3 linked regions of the Drosophila melanogaster genome follow. The protein of the gene in region 1 interacts with the protein of each later gene in a pairwise test. Each region holds a gene or a part of one and is shown in the gene's direction. Other genes may lie near its edges. The genes, in order: Larp4B, CG10154 and CG14275.

The links.
Region 2: the proteins of Larp4B (region 1) and CG10154 interact in a two-hybrid assay, tested with the Drosophila melanogaster proteins (one large-scale study listed by BioGRID).
Region 3: the proteins of Larp4B (region 1) and CG14275 interact in a two-hybrid assay, tested with the Drosophila melanogaster proteins (one large-scale study listed by BioGRID).

The regions. Positions count from the first base shown.
Region 1 is NT_037436.4:3,224,171-3,227,925, forward strand, and holds the start of Larp4B (La-related protein 4B), read left to right. Parts: upstream 1-1,882; 5' UTR 1,883-2,353; coding exon 2,354-2,369; intron 2,370-2,706; coding exon 2,707-3,535; intron 3,536-3,604; coding exon 3,605-3,755. Other genes in the region: eIF1 (eukaryotic translation initiation factor 1), read left to right, coding at 144-290. UniProt on the Drosophila melanogaster protein: Probable RNA binding protein. Negatively regulates myc at the protein level, via an unknown mechanism, and may therefore have a role in growth. Has no effect on myc mRNA levels.
Region 2 is NT_037436.4:13,435,093-13,438,847, reverse strand, and holds CG10154 (uncharacterized protein), read left to right. Parts: upstream 1-1,711; 5' UTR 1,712-1,751; coding exon 1,752-1,752; intron 1,753-1,816; coding exon 1,817-2,056; intron 2,057-2,142; coding exon 2,143-2,627; intron 2,628-2,769; coding exon 2,770-2,994; 3' UTR 2,995-3,168; downstream 3,169-3,755. Other genes in the region: CG10725 (uncharacterized protein), read right to left, coding at 1-97, 162-598, 657-803, 862-862.
Region 3 is NT_033779.5:8,325,328-8,329,082, forward strand, and holds the start of CG14275 (uncharacterized protein), read left to right. Parts: upstream 1-2,128; 5' UTR 2,129-2,256; intron 2,257-3,720; exon of another isoform or gene 3,721-3,755.

The DNA.
Region 1 (3,755 bases):
TGAAGAAACTGCGAATATTATTGAAATCTATTTGGTCAGCAGTTCATTTGCACATATTCAAGACATTGTTTAAAACATTGATTGCTTCGTCGGTTGTGGATTTGGTTGAAAAGCACTAACATATTAATTACATTCATTCACAGGAATTCGCATGCAATGGCACTGTAATCGAGCACCCAGAGTATGGTGAGGTTCTGCAGCTCCAGGGCGATCAGCGTGAGAACATCTGTCAATGGTTGACGAAGGTGGGTCTAGCTAAGCCGGATCAGCTGAAGGTGCACGGCTTCTAAGCGGTCGAACGAACAAACCGTGTGAATCTTCATACCACTCTTTCATTCTTAAGCTCTGCAACAACACCCAAAAACTTGGAAAAGTTCTTTGTTCCGAATTATTCAAACTCTCTTGATAGAACATAAACATACAGAAGCAATAGACCATTTACTGAGAACAATGTTATAAATAAAATTAAATGTTCAATTTAAATAAATGAATGTGTGCGGGCGCTGTCGTAGTATAATGGGTCGAAAAAATTATAAATGCTTGTATTTCGAATTGGTTTTTCTGGCTTGTAACGCAGAAAACGCCCATTGGTATTTCATAGCTATTCGGATAAGATTCTGAATTAAAATATAGTAAAACGAAAGGTGGGCCATTTATTTATTGTCAACGAAAATATTAAAAAAAATATTCAAATTCAGGAACGTCTGATTTGGTTGTTGTCTTAGCTTCAGCAACGTTTCACACCTCGAGGGGAATACCACCTTAGGCGTTCTTGGGTACATTTGTCAGACTGTTCTGCAGTCACACTAATTTAGGCACAAAAAATCGGAGCGCGAAGTTTTTGCGTGTGTTGCATTTTGCTGGAAAAAAGAGTTATCTGAGTGTCAAACGTAGGCAAATTCGTCCCCCGAAATCGACGCGTTGCAACTGACGAATTTCCCAACGATAATTCGCCAGCAGAACGTTCAGTGAAGAATACGTGGACGCGCGGAACGCTTGGTGTTTCATTTTGTTCGTTCGGCCAAATTTAACAAGTGGTTTTCGCCTCAGCGCTGTCACAGCTGCACGAAATCGCCGTCTGCAGGCGGATGAGCCCGGGATTTCCATTCATCCCAGTGGTAAGTGAATATAGGCGAATAATGGTGCAGATAACATGTCGGAGAGGGGGCGGGTGGGCTGGATTTCGCTTAGCAATATTATGTTCTTGCACGTTTCAGGGTTGTCGCTTCGCAGGCAGTTGGTATTTTTTGTTCGATATTTTTGGGTAGCGTGCTTGTATTTGTGCGGTCTTCCGCAGGCTACTCTCTACATTTACATTGAAACGCAATAACCATTTAAGCAATAATCGTTAACGAAAAGCGTGAACGCATGCCTTGACTTGCGTGTCTCATGCTACGCACTTTTAAAAACCTGTCAGGAAAAACTAGTGACAATCGAGTTACTTTTTTTTTTTAGTATTTGCAATCGCTTGCAACCCTGACTTGCGATCTATCGAAACGGCGAAAGTTTTCTATGACGATGAGAAGTCGAATTTTTGGATTTTTCGCGTGACAAGTTGGTGGTGAAAAAAACCAGGCACAACCTTAACAATTCATTTGTCAACTTGGCTAACGATTGGCTACTGACAAGCGTAACGCTGGCTGGTGCGGGCGGTTCAAGTGAGGTGTGAAAAGTCGCCAAAAGAAAAAAATCAATTGCCTCTCGGTCGTTTCCAATTTTCAATTCACATTCTCTGCGTGTGCAAAAAGCAAAGAAAAGGCGAGAAAAAAAAATTAGACTGCAAACGACAAGAAAAGAAGAAAAAATAGAAAAGAAACGGCGAGCGGAAAGAAGAAGAGCGCAGAAGAAGGCCGAGCAAAGGCAACGTAGAGTTGAAGAAAATGTTGTACAAAAGGGGCGGAGGAGCAGGAGCCGTGTTTTCAAGTCGCAAGCAGCAGAAGCAGTATAAATAAATAACCATCGTCGCCAAAGAGAGTGCTCGCTATTCAGCGCGATTGGAATCGCGGAAAAGCAAGTTGGCGAAGTACGAAATATCGCAGTGAAAATCAAATTTTCCAAATAGAAAGAAGAGCTCCTCCTCTCGTTCGTTCGCCTGCTCGCTCTCTTTCTCTCTCATCCTCTCCATCGCTCTCTCGCTTCCACTCTCGCGACTGGGTGGCAACGTGTGTGCGTGTGTTGCTGTGTGTGCCTGCTGTGTGTGAGTGTGCCGCGTGCGTAAGTGTGTGTGTGTAGCTCGAAAGAGCGAAAAAATAGATTTAAAAGAAAAAAATAAGAGGAAAAGCAAATAAGGAGAAGCGAAATAACCGACTGTGTCTTTGTGTGGAATTTCTTGATAATTGCAACATACGTTACCATGGAATACTTCCTAGGTTGGTAAAATGCGTTAACTAGCACCCGTGCATGCGTGTGCGCCACCCCCTATGCATCACCCACATGCTCGAAAATTTGCATACGTATGTGTACGCTTATGCTGGCACTGCTTTACGCTTGTTTGTTTTTTGTTGTTATTAGCTCGAAATCGGCAGAGTTTTCCCAGCATCTGGCTTCCTTCGATTACGACAGTTTCCCGTTACGTCTACAATTACAAAATATTGACCTTGTTTATACACACACTCACCATATCACACACACAACAAACCCAACCACACCACCCATCACCCGCCCACCCATAATGTAAAAACCGTCTTATGTGCAAACCACTTGCAGGAGGATATGTATACATGAACGGAGATGCACTCAAGATCCAGCCGCCCGTCTACACCAACGTTCCTGTCGAGACGGCGATGCTAGCAACTAATCTGTTTGGCGCCACAACCCAAATTGCAGCCTCACCCGCAGCAGCCGCCGCTGCCCACATACCGTTGATCACAGCCGCAGCTGCAGCCGCCGCCGCCGCAGGCGCTCCAGCAGTAGCTCCTCCAGTTGCCGTTGCTCCAGTGGCCACCGCATCAGCAGCACAAGCAGCAGTTGTGCCCGCCCAACAACAGCAGCAGGCGCATCCACACCAGGCCCAGATTTTGGCCCATACGCACGTAGCCCACCAACAACAACAGCAGCAGCAGCAGCAGACGATCCAACAGCATCTCCACCAGCAGCAGCAACAACAGTCGCCGCATCCCGCCCAGCATCTGACCTACGGCCATCAGCCGGCGCTTTCGCAGGCCACGGCTGGAGGATCAGGAACAATTTCCGGAGGAGCAGTAGGACCATCCGGAGTAGTCGTGGAGGGCCAGGACACCAACGAGTACGCCATCATGAATGGCGCACTCGGCCAGACCCAGGATGGCACTGTGGTCTGCTACACCACAGACGCCCTGAACAACACGAATTTAGTTGCACTCGATCCGCAGCCCCATCAAATTGTAGTGCCGGTCCAGGTTCCTGTCCAAGTCCCAGTGCCCGTTCAGCTACCAGCAAATGGATCCGCTGATCCGCAGCAAGGCAGCCACAATGCAGCTGGTGGAGAGGAGCCCAACATACCGCTGGACAAGCTCAAACAAATGCTGGCCACCCAACTTGAGTACTACTTCTCCAGGTGAGATTTGGCACACAAAATCCAACAGCAAACCCCTTTTGACATTGCTTCTTATTCCGCTCCAAACAGGGAGAACCTGGCAAACGACACCTACCTGCTCTCCCAGATGGACAGCGACCAGTATGTGCCCATTTACACTGTGGCCAGATTTAATTTGGTGCGAAAGCTAACCAATGACATCAATCTCATCACTGAGGTGCTGCGTGAATCGCCCAATGTC
Region 2 (3,755 bases), about 10 Mb from region 1:
GGGCAATAAAGTGGGCGCCCTCCGATGGACACTCAATGTCGGCGAGACGTGGCGGAGCTCGGGCAAAGGGCAGGATATTCCGTTGAAGGCTCTCCACCTGAATGAAATGAATAGGTTTTTATGTGGCTCCCAGAAAACTTCAGATAAAAAAAAACACGCACCGTGCAGTTGACTTTCGAGGGGAAATCGCAGCTCTGAGTGCTTGGATTGTACTGCAGGCCACTTGTGCAGTTCTGGACTTGAGGAAGACCATCCATGCAAATGTAGTACTTGTCACAGCGAGCCTTGCTGGGTATGAAAACGATGTCATCCGGATTATTATTCCGGCTGCACAGATTGTCCACGCAGTCGACATACTGCGGATAGTCACAGCGATCGGTCAGGGCGTTGTACTGCAGTCCATCGGAGCACTGACGGATCACCGGAGTGCCGTCGAAGCAGAGAACGTACTTGGTGCACGTGCGATCGTAACAGAACGATGACAAACCACGGTTCTTACAGGATCCAATACACTCGACCTCCATCAGGGGAACACACTCCTGATCCCTCGCATCGAAGTAGTAGTCCGTGGGGCATTCACGGGGTACAGCTATCTCATCTGGGATAGAAACATGATAATGCGGTGAACTAGATATCCACAGGTGCTGGTGACTTACTCATGCACAGGAAGTACTTGCTACAGTTGCCCACCTGGGGAACAAAGAGATTGTTGACCACATTGGAGCAGACATTGACATCGCCATCAGCAGCGCTACAGCTTCCAAGCAGGGCAACCAGTGCCAAAAGGGTCAGGCGACTTATCACTTTGGAAAATAAACCAAGTTAGATCATTTCGGTTCCATAGCTGCAATTCATACTCACTATTCAAGGTTGGTTTCCTGCGGTTACTATCGTCTTACCTCGAAAAACCCCTCCATTTATAGGCAAACTCACTTGCCATTCAATCTGCGATTTGTTTTGATTCCGTGCAAATTTCCAATCTTATCGGATGTGGATGCATGTTTCCATGTGGTAATTGGATTGTTCTTCCTCATTCAAATTCGTCTGGCGGAGATAAGTTCGGTGAACAAGAGCCAATATTCAGGAACATACACCTCTGTCAGCCATTAGGAAACACGTGTATTGATGAGTCACAGTTGATCATCGAACCACGGATCGCTCAAGATCCGATGTAATTGTTACAAGTGTTTGGAATATTTGGATAGGAAGCCCCATTACTTTGAAGATCTAGAAATTATTAAGTTGTAGTTTAGGTTTAAGATTTTCTTCAAGATATATGTATGTATATTTGTTGTACAGGAAGGAAATGCTCCTAGTTAATCCAAATAGAATGTATTATTCTATAAAATTATTTTTTATTTTATTTATTTTTCTTTTCATATCTTAATCGCTAGCGCAGTAATACTTTGAATGTTTAAACCACTCGTGCACTAAAGTGATAAAAAAAAAAACCACACGTGCAAGGAAATTAAAACACTTTTCATCGATATCCACGGGTTCTGGGAACCAGTCTATTTAAAACATTTCGACTATGACTATTATCGCCAAGTTTGGTGGTGACAAATTGAAAGTCGAAATGTTTGCAGAAATAATGGCGTAGTTTTCCTCTAGAGGAGTCGTGTGCCGAAATAACCTGGTTGATAAGTGTAAATTGGCAAAAACTCATTAGGCGATGAAAGAGAGTCGATATAAAATGAATATTTCCTGGCCTGATAGCAAACAGTTGTGGCACACAGTTCAAACTATCCAGGAGTAAGTTGCTCATGCGATGGGATTCCCTATAGTTCATTTACCTAATAAATCGTAATTTCCCAAGTGAAGTGGCTATTAAATGGGCTCCTACTACTATTCATCATTTTGATGGTTCATCGGAACCGGGCCGATGAAGATCTTGTAGTAGCTCCCGGTCCAGACGACGATGGTGAGGGCCTAAATGTTCAGGATAAGGATATTTACGATATGTACGAAAACACCCAGATAAATGTCTGCGGCAATGTGGCGGATGGCGTTTATTTGCCCTATGTTGGAAATTGCTCCAAATATATCGAGTGTGAAAGTGAGTTATATACACTAAAACATCACATAAGTTTTTAAAGCAAATGAAAAATATTTTTAATACATTAAACTATCCATGTATTTAAGACAATACTATTAAGGAAGTAGGCAGCTGCTTGGATTTGGCAAAGGATAATCCAGATATTTGCGATCCGAACAAGTCGTGTGAGCTGGGCTACGATCCTGTTCTCCAAGTGTGCACCTACATGGAGGAGGTACAGTGTCTGCCCACCTGTGAGTCGTTCCGATTGAGCAGCTTCTGCTACGACAACACCTGTACCAAGTACGTGCTTTGCTATTACGGCAAACCCGTGCTACGCCAATGCCACGATGGACTCCAGTACAACAACGCCACGGATCGCTGTGACTTCCCCGAGTATGTGGACTGTGTGGCCAACGACTGTTCCGCCACCTTCCAGCCAGAGGACATCATCTACCTGGGTAGTAAGGCATCATGCAGCAAGTATTACGTCTGTTCCAATGGTCATCCGTGGGAACAGCAGTGTGCTCCTGGCTTGGCCTACAATCCCAGCTGCAAGTGCTGCGACTTTGCCAAGAATGTTAACTGCACGGTGAGTAGAAAAAGTGAAAGTGGATTTTTTTCATTTCAAATATATATTTTTAAATTGATTGTTTTGGATTGGTTTAAAGTACATTTTATACTGCTTCTGGAGTAATTTAATAATTTATTTATTTATACCTAAATATCTCTAGATTGATGCTGTAGCCAGGAATATTCTGCCATATTCCCGAACCCCTCTGCGTCGTGCTGACATTAAGTGTCCCCTTATGGGAACTCACTTCTTCCCACACAAATCTCGCCGAGATGCATATTATTACTGCGTCGAAGGACGTGGAGTCACACTAGACTGCACTCCGGGTCTTTACTACGATCCCAAAGTGGAGGATTGCCGCAGACCTGAATTCGTTGGTGTCTAACTGAGTTTTCATAAATAAATAATTACAACCTGTTGCTTTTGATTTTCGATTTTATGAAATGATAAGAGATTTTGTGAATGTAAGAAGTGATACAAATTGTTTATTCTGAAATGTTTTTTAAAAGAGCACATAACATTTTTAGTGTCGTTATTTTAAAGATTTATTAAAGGGACCAATCATTTGGTGTAAGACTCTCTTATCATCCCAAGAAAGTTCCACTAGTAAGAAATGGAAAAAAATAAATTCAATTAATTTACCAATAAAATGTTTGCTACAAAACGTTACAATTTGAATTGGATGGCCCGTTCACAATGGTGTTTTGTAAACGGCGCATGTGCTGTGCAGCCACAGTGTTTATTTTCCAAAAAAGAGAGAAAGAGTGCTCCACAGAGCACCCCATTCATGCTCTTCTGGTTGCAAACGCCAACCACCCGCTCGCCCACCGAGTGGCACGGCCACATATACAGAAAGCAAAAACAAAACGCTGTCTGTTGGCAAAAAGGAAAAAGAGGAAAACCATCCGTGGGGGCGGTGGGAAGTGAAAGAGCGCTCTGCGAAACTCATGAAAGTGAAAACGAGCGCGACGCTGGCCCAGCTGCATTCACACATTCAGTTGGCTGCGAGTCCTTGCGCCGTTCGAATCGCAGGCGAATCACCCATCGTCCAACACACAACCTCACAACCACCCACCACCCACCGCCCACCTGCGTCTCGGGCCGCAAGGTTGGCAAAATACAATTATTCGAGCGCGAGTCAGCGGT
Region 3 (3,755 bases), on another chromosome or scaffold:
TGAGTCGAATCGGATCGCATCGGCTGGCGATGGGTGGTGGGTGGTGGTCGGTGGTCGGTGGTTAGTGGTTGCTGGGAGAAAGACCCAATCCCAGCCTAAAACTCGGATTCAGTTTTTAGCTTGCAGCAAGGGAGCTTTGGCAGCGAAGCTTTCGAGTGTGCGTCCTCTTTGCGATTTCCACGCTCTGCATGTGTGTGTGTGTGTGTGTGTGTGGGTCAGGAGATGCGAATGTGTGGCCACAAAAGTATCTCAAATGACACTGGTCTGCAGGGATGGGGTTTCAAACGATTTTTATTATATTTCGTACTTAATGTAAAATAAAAACATTCATTTCGATTATTATTAGAATTAAAACATATGTCCTTCATATATCATTAAACATCTTAAGGTGAATAAAAACGTTCTCAACTTGATTTATATTAAATCGTTTTTTTATTAAACAATTTTCGTCGCTGTACTAATTTAATTAAAAATTATTAATCACATATTAACAGGTTGTAGTAGAAATTAAAACATGAACTCAAATAATCATCACATTGCCTATCAATTGTTTGGCCGTTAAAGGTCGATTCAGAAATGAGATCTCTAAGCTAAGATTATTAAAATGTTTGTATAAACAAATACATTAAAAAGCTAATCGTGCTCCCTGAATTAGGTGTTTTGAAATATATACATGTTTACATATTGTATTAAAATAATCTGCTCTTAATCACTTCCACTTCTGTTTCTTCTTATTTTGGCATCTCACTTTTTATTTATGTATTTTTAAGTAGTCGCAATTAGAAGCTGCAATTAGCCGAAGGCAGTGCACTGGACTATTCGCCTCATTCACTCATAACCCTGAGCGCCATTTCAACTAGGCGTCCAGACACTCAATCCATAGCCGGAGATCAGGAGGACGTGAGCACGTGAATAGCCGGAGAAGTCGCACAGTAGAAGCAGAAATCAAATCCACCGGGATTAATTAAGCTTAATCGCAGGCTTCCTCTTGAAGCTCCAGCCACGTTGCTTATCACAAAGTCGCACAAATTGCTGCCCCAAGACGCTGGTCAATTGAATTAAGTCTTTCTTTCACTCACTATATGCACTATATATGTACATACATATATGTATGTATGATATGTACATATATTTTTGCAGATCGGTTTGCCTGGCTTTTGTGCCCCAATCAGTGCGCGAAATTGAGGAATCCGTGGGGGCAGATTGCCCTTTGGGGAGATTTGTGTTACCCTGTCTCCCAGTCGCGCTTGTACTTACACTTAAAAAAAAAAAGGTTCATAATATGCAGTCGATCTTTTATAAGTATTTTGGAAGCCTCATATTTTGTAAGCATTTATCTTCACTTTACTTTTATTTTGACACACTTAAATCGTTTTTATATATTTTTTTATTCATTATTACAATGTTAGGTGTATTTATTTTATTTTTTTATTAATATAACTTCAATTTATTTAAATAAAAAATTGAGAAAATAAATATTTCTCAGTGTGATGTCCCTAAATTGATTGCATTAAACAATGTTTGCGACTATAAATAGCGATAGTAAGAAAAGAGTTTTCGCTTTGGATTGGGGTTAAAGTACGAATAATCAAAATGTTGACTAACATGTTAAGCAACAAATTGTTTAAATTTAAATAACATTGAGTCCGACTAAAACGCGAAGCTTTGAAATCTTAAGCTTTTAAGCTACCGCTTCTAATGTGTTGAAGAACCGACTAAAAGCTTTTCTAACAAAATATGGGTTATTTGCCGTGAGAATTTCCCCTTGTTTCAATTAGAGCATTAGCCCCAAAAAATAAGTTTCCTTTATTTACTTTTTTTTTTTTGTTCCGTGGCTTCGCATTAATTTCGTATTTTATGCGCAATTAATCATGAAGTCTGGCGATTGAAATCGCGAACAGGAGAGATACGTTTCCAGAAATCACTTGTTAGAAAAAAAAAAATCCGGCAAACCGGTTTCAGCAAACAAGAATCGGGCTCATTTGCCTCAGTTTGTTTTTGGTTTCAAACGAATCCCCAGTCTGACCTCCCAATAATGCTCGCAGATCAGCTGATTTCCGATTTCTGACTTCGATACGAACCCACCAATGTCATTTGGCTGAAGACAAAGATCTCATATTCACAGACCTCAGTTACACGTTGAATTTGCAGTAGATTGGTTCTACTGTCGGTGGGAATTTAAACACTTAAAGTCAAACAAACAAAAACTAACAATAGAAGTGCAACAAAACAGTAAAAAATTTCAAAAGAAAAAAGGTATTTCCTAATTTAATTAAATAAATAGATAGCAAGAAGTGAGATTTTTGAGATCAGTTTGTGTAGTTTGCTTTTTGAGATTCTTCATTTCCAAGCAAACACAATAAAAGAAAAGATAAATTCACTTTCATAATTTATGAACAGAAGATTTTACCATTACATAGGAAAATTAGTTTCCAAAAATTTCCCCACACAATCACAATAAGTTAAGGAAATTTTCCACTTTTCATTGAGAGCTGTTTTCGACCAAGAACCACTTCAAACTGGCTAAAACCGGCAACTGAGCGCGGCAATATGCATATTCACTTTAGCTTGGCGCTTCACACAATGCAGCGTGGAAATTAAAAATTAGTTGCATTGTTTGCAGAATCGAACACCTAATGAATGCACTGCACAGATATGTACCTTACGTCAGGCAAAATTTAAAACATTTAATGATGAGTCAAGAAATTCGTACCGCCTTGAACTAGAAGAGAGACAGATAAGACGAATCCACTGATTTTCCCAATTAAGTTGAGTCCGAAAGTCTGACTTCGTCACCGATGCGGACTAGACCGAACCACCACAGCTGAGTTTTTGGAGGTGCGAACCAGTTTTAACTAATCAGCGCCGTTGATAAGGAACTGCCGTTCTATGGAGCTCGTACAGTCCATGTTATGGCGGTCAGAACGTGCTCCTATCGCAAAAACCCAGCTCACCGGAACCAAATCGATCACTCGATGGGAAAAGATTGCAGAGCCAATGACATCTTGGCCCGAATTTGAGATTCCAACTTCCTATCAAATGAATTAGCTATTACTTTTTTTATGGAAAATCTAGGTAATTTGTACGTCAGTTTTTATAAACTTAACATTCACATTATTTGTATAGTAATGAAAAGTTATAAAGTTATATGGCTATTAGCCATTATTGCATTTTATTGGCTTATACTACCAATATTATGCTGCATATGGGAATCTTACTTAAACAATGGTTATCTTTTGTTAATAGGCATAGTAAGTGGCTATTCAAAAGCTATATATAGTATAGTATTGTATAGTACATACATTGTTTATTTACTTTTTTTTGGGAGCTGTTTGCGAGTGACGTCACAATTCGGACTTAACTGGTTCAAGCCGGTGGATTCCATTTGGACTGTGTTTTGCATTCGGGTTAAGAACCAAGCTGAAACCAACCGAAGCTGGAGCTTATCAATGCGGCGTGGAAACTACCTTGTGTAGCATCCCCCTATATAGTCGCACATATATGTATGTATTTAACATACATAGGTATATATGTTGATATAAAACGACCCCGTAAAGACGATCGAGTGACGGAAGTTTTCACATATTTTCCATTTGCTGCCTTTAGGGCCGATCTCGCTCTCTTCGCTCTCCCGAAGCCAATCTGCTCGGCTCGGCTCTCAGTTCGCAATGAGCTGGCTTTTTGAAAAATCAACGTTTTTCGAAAAGTCAAATACAAGTTTTCAGATTCATCTCGACGGTGCTCGCGTCCAGTTG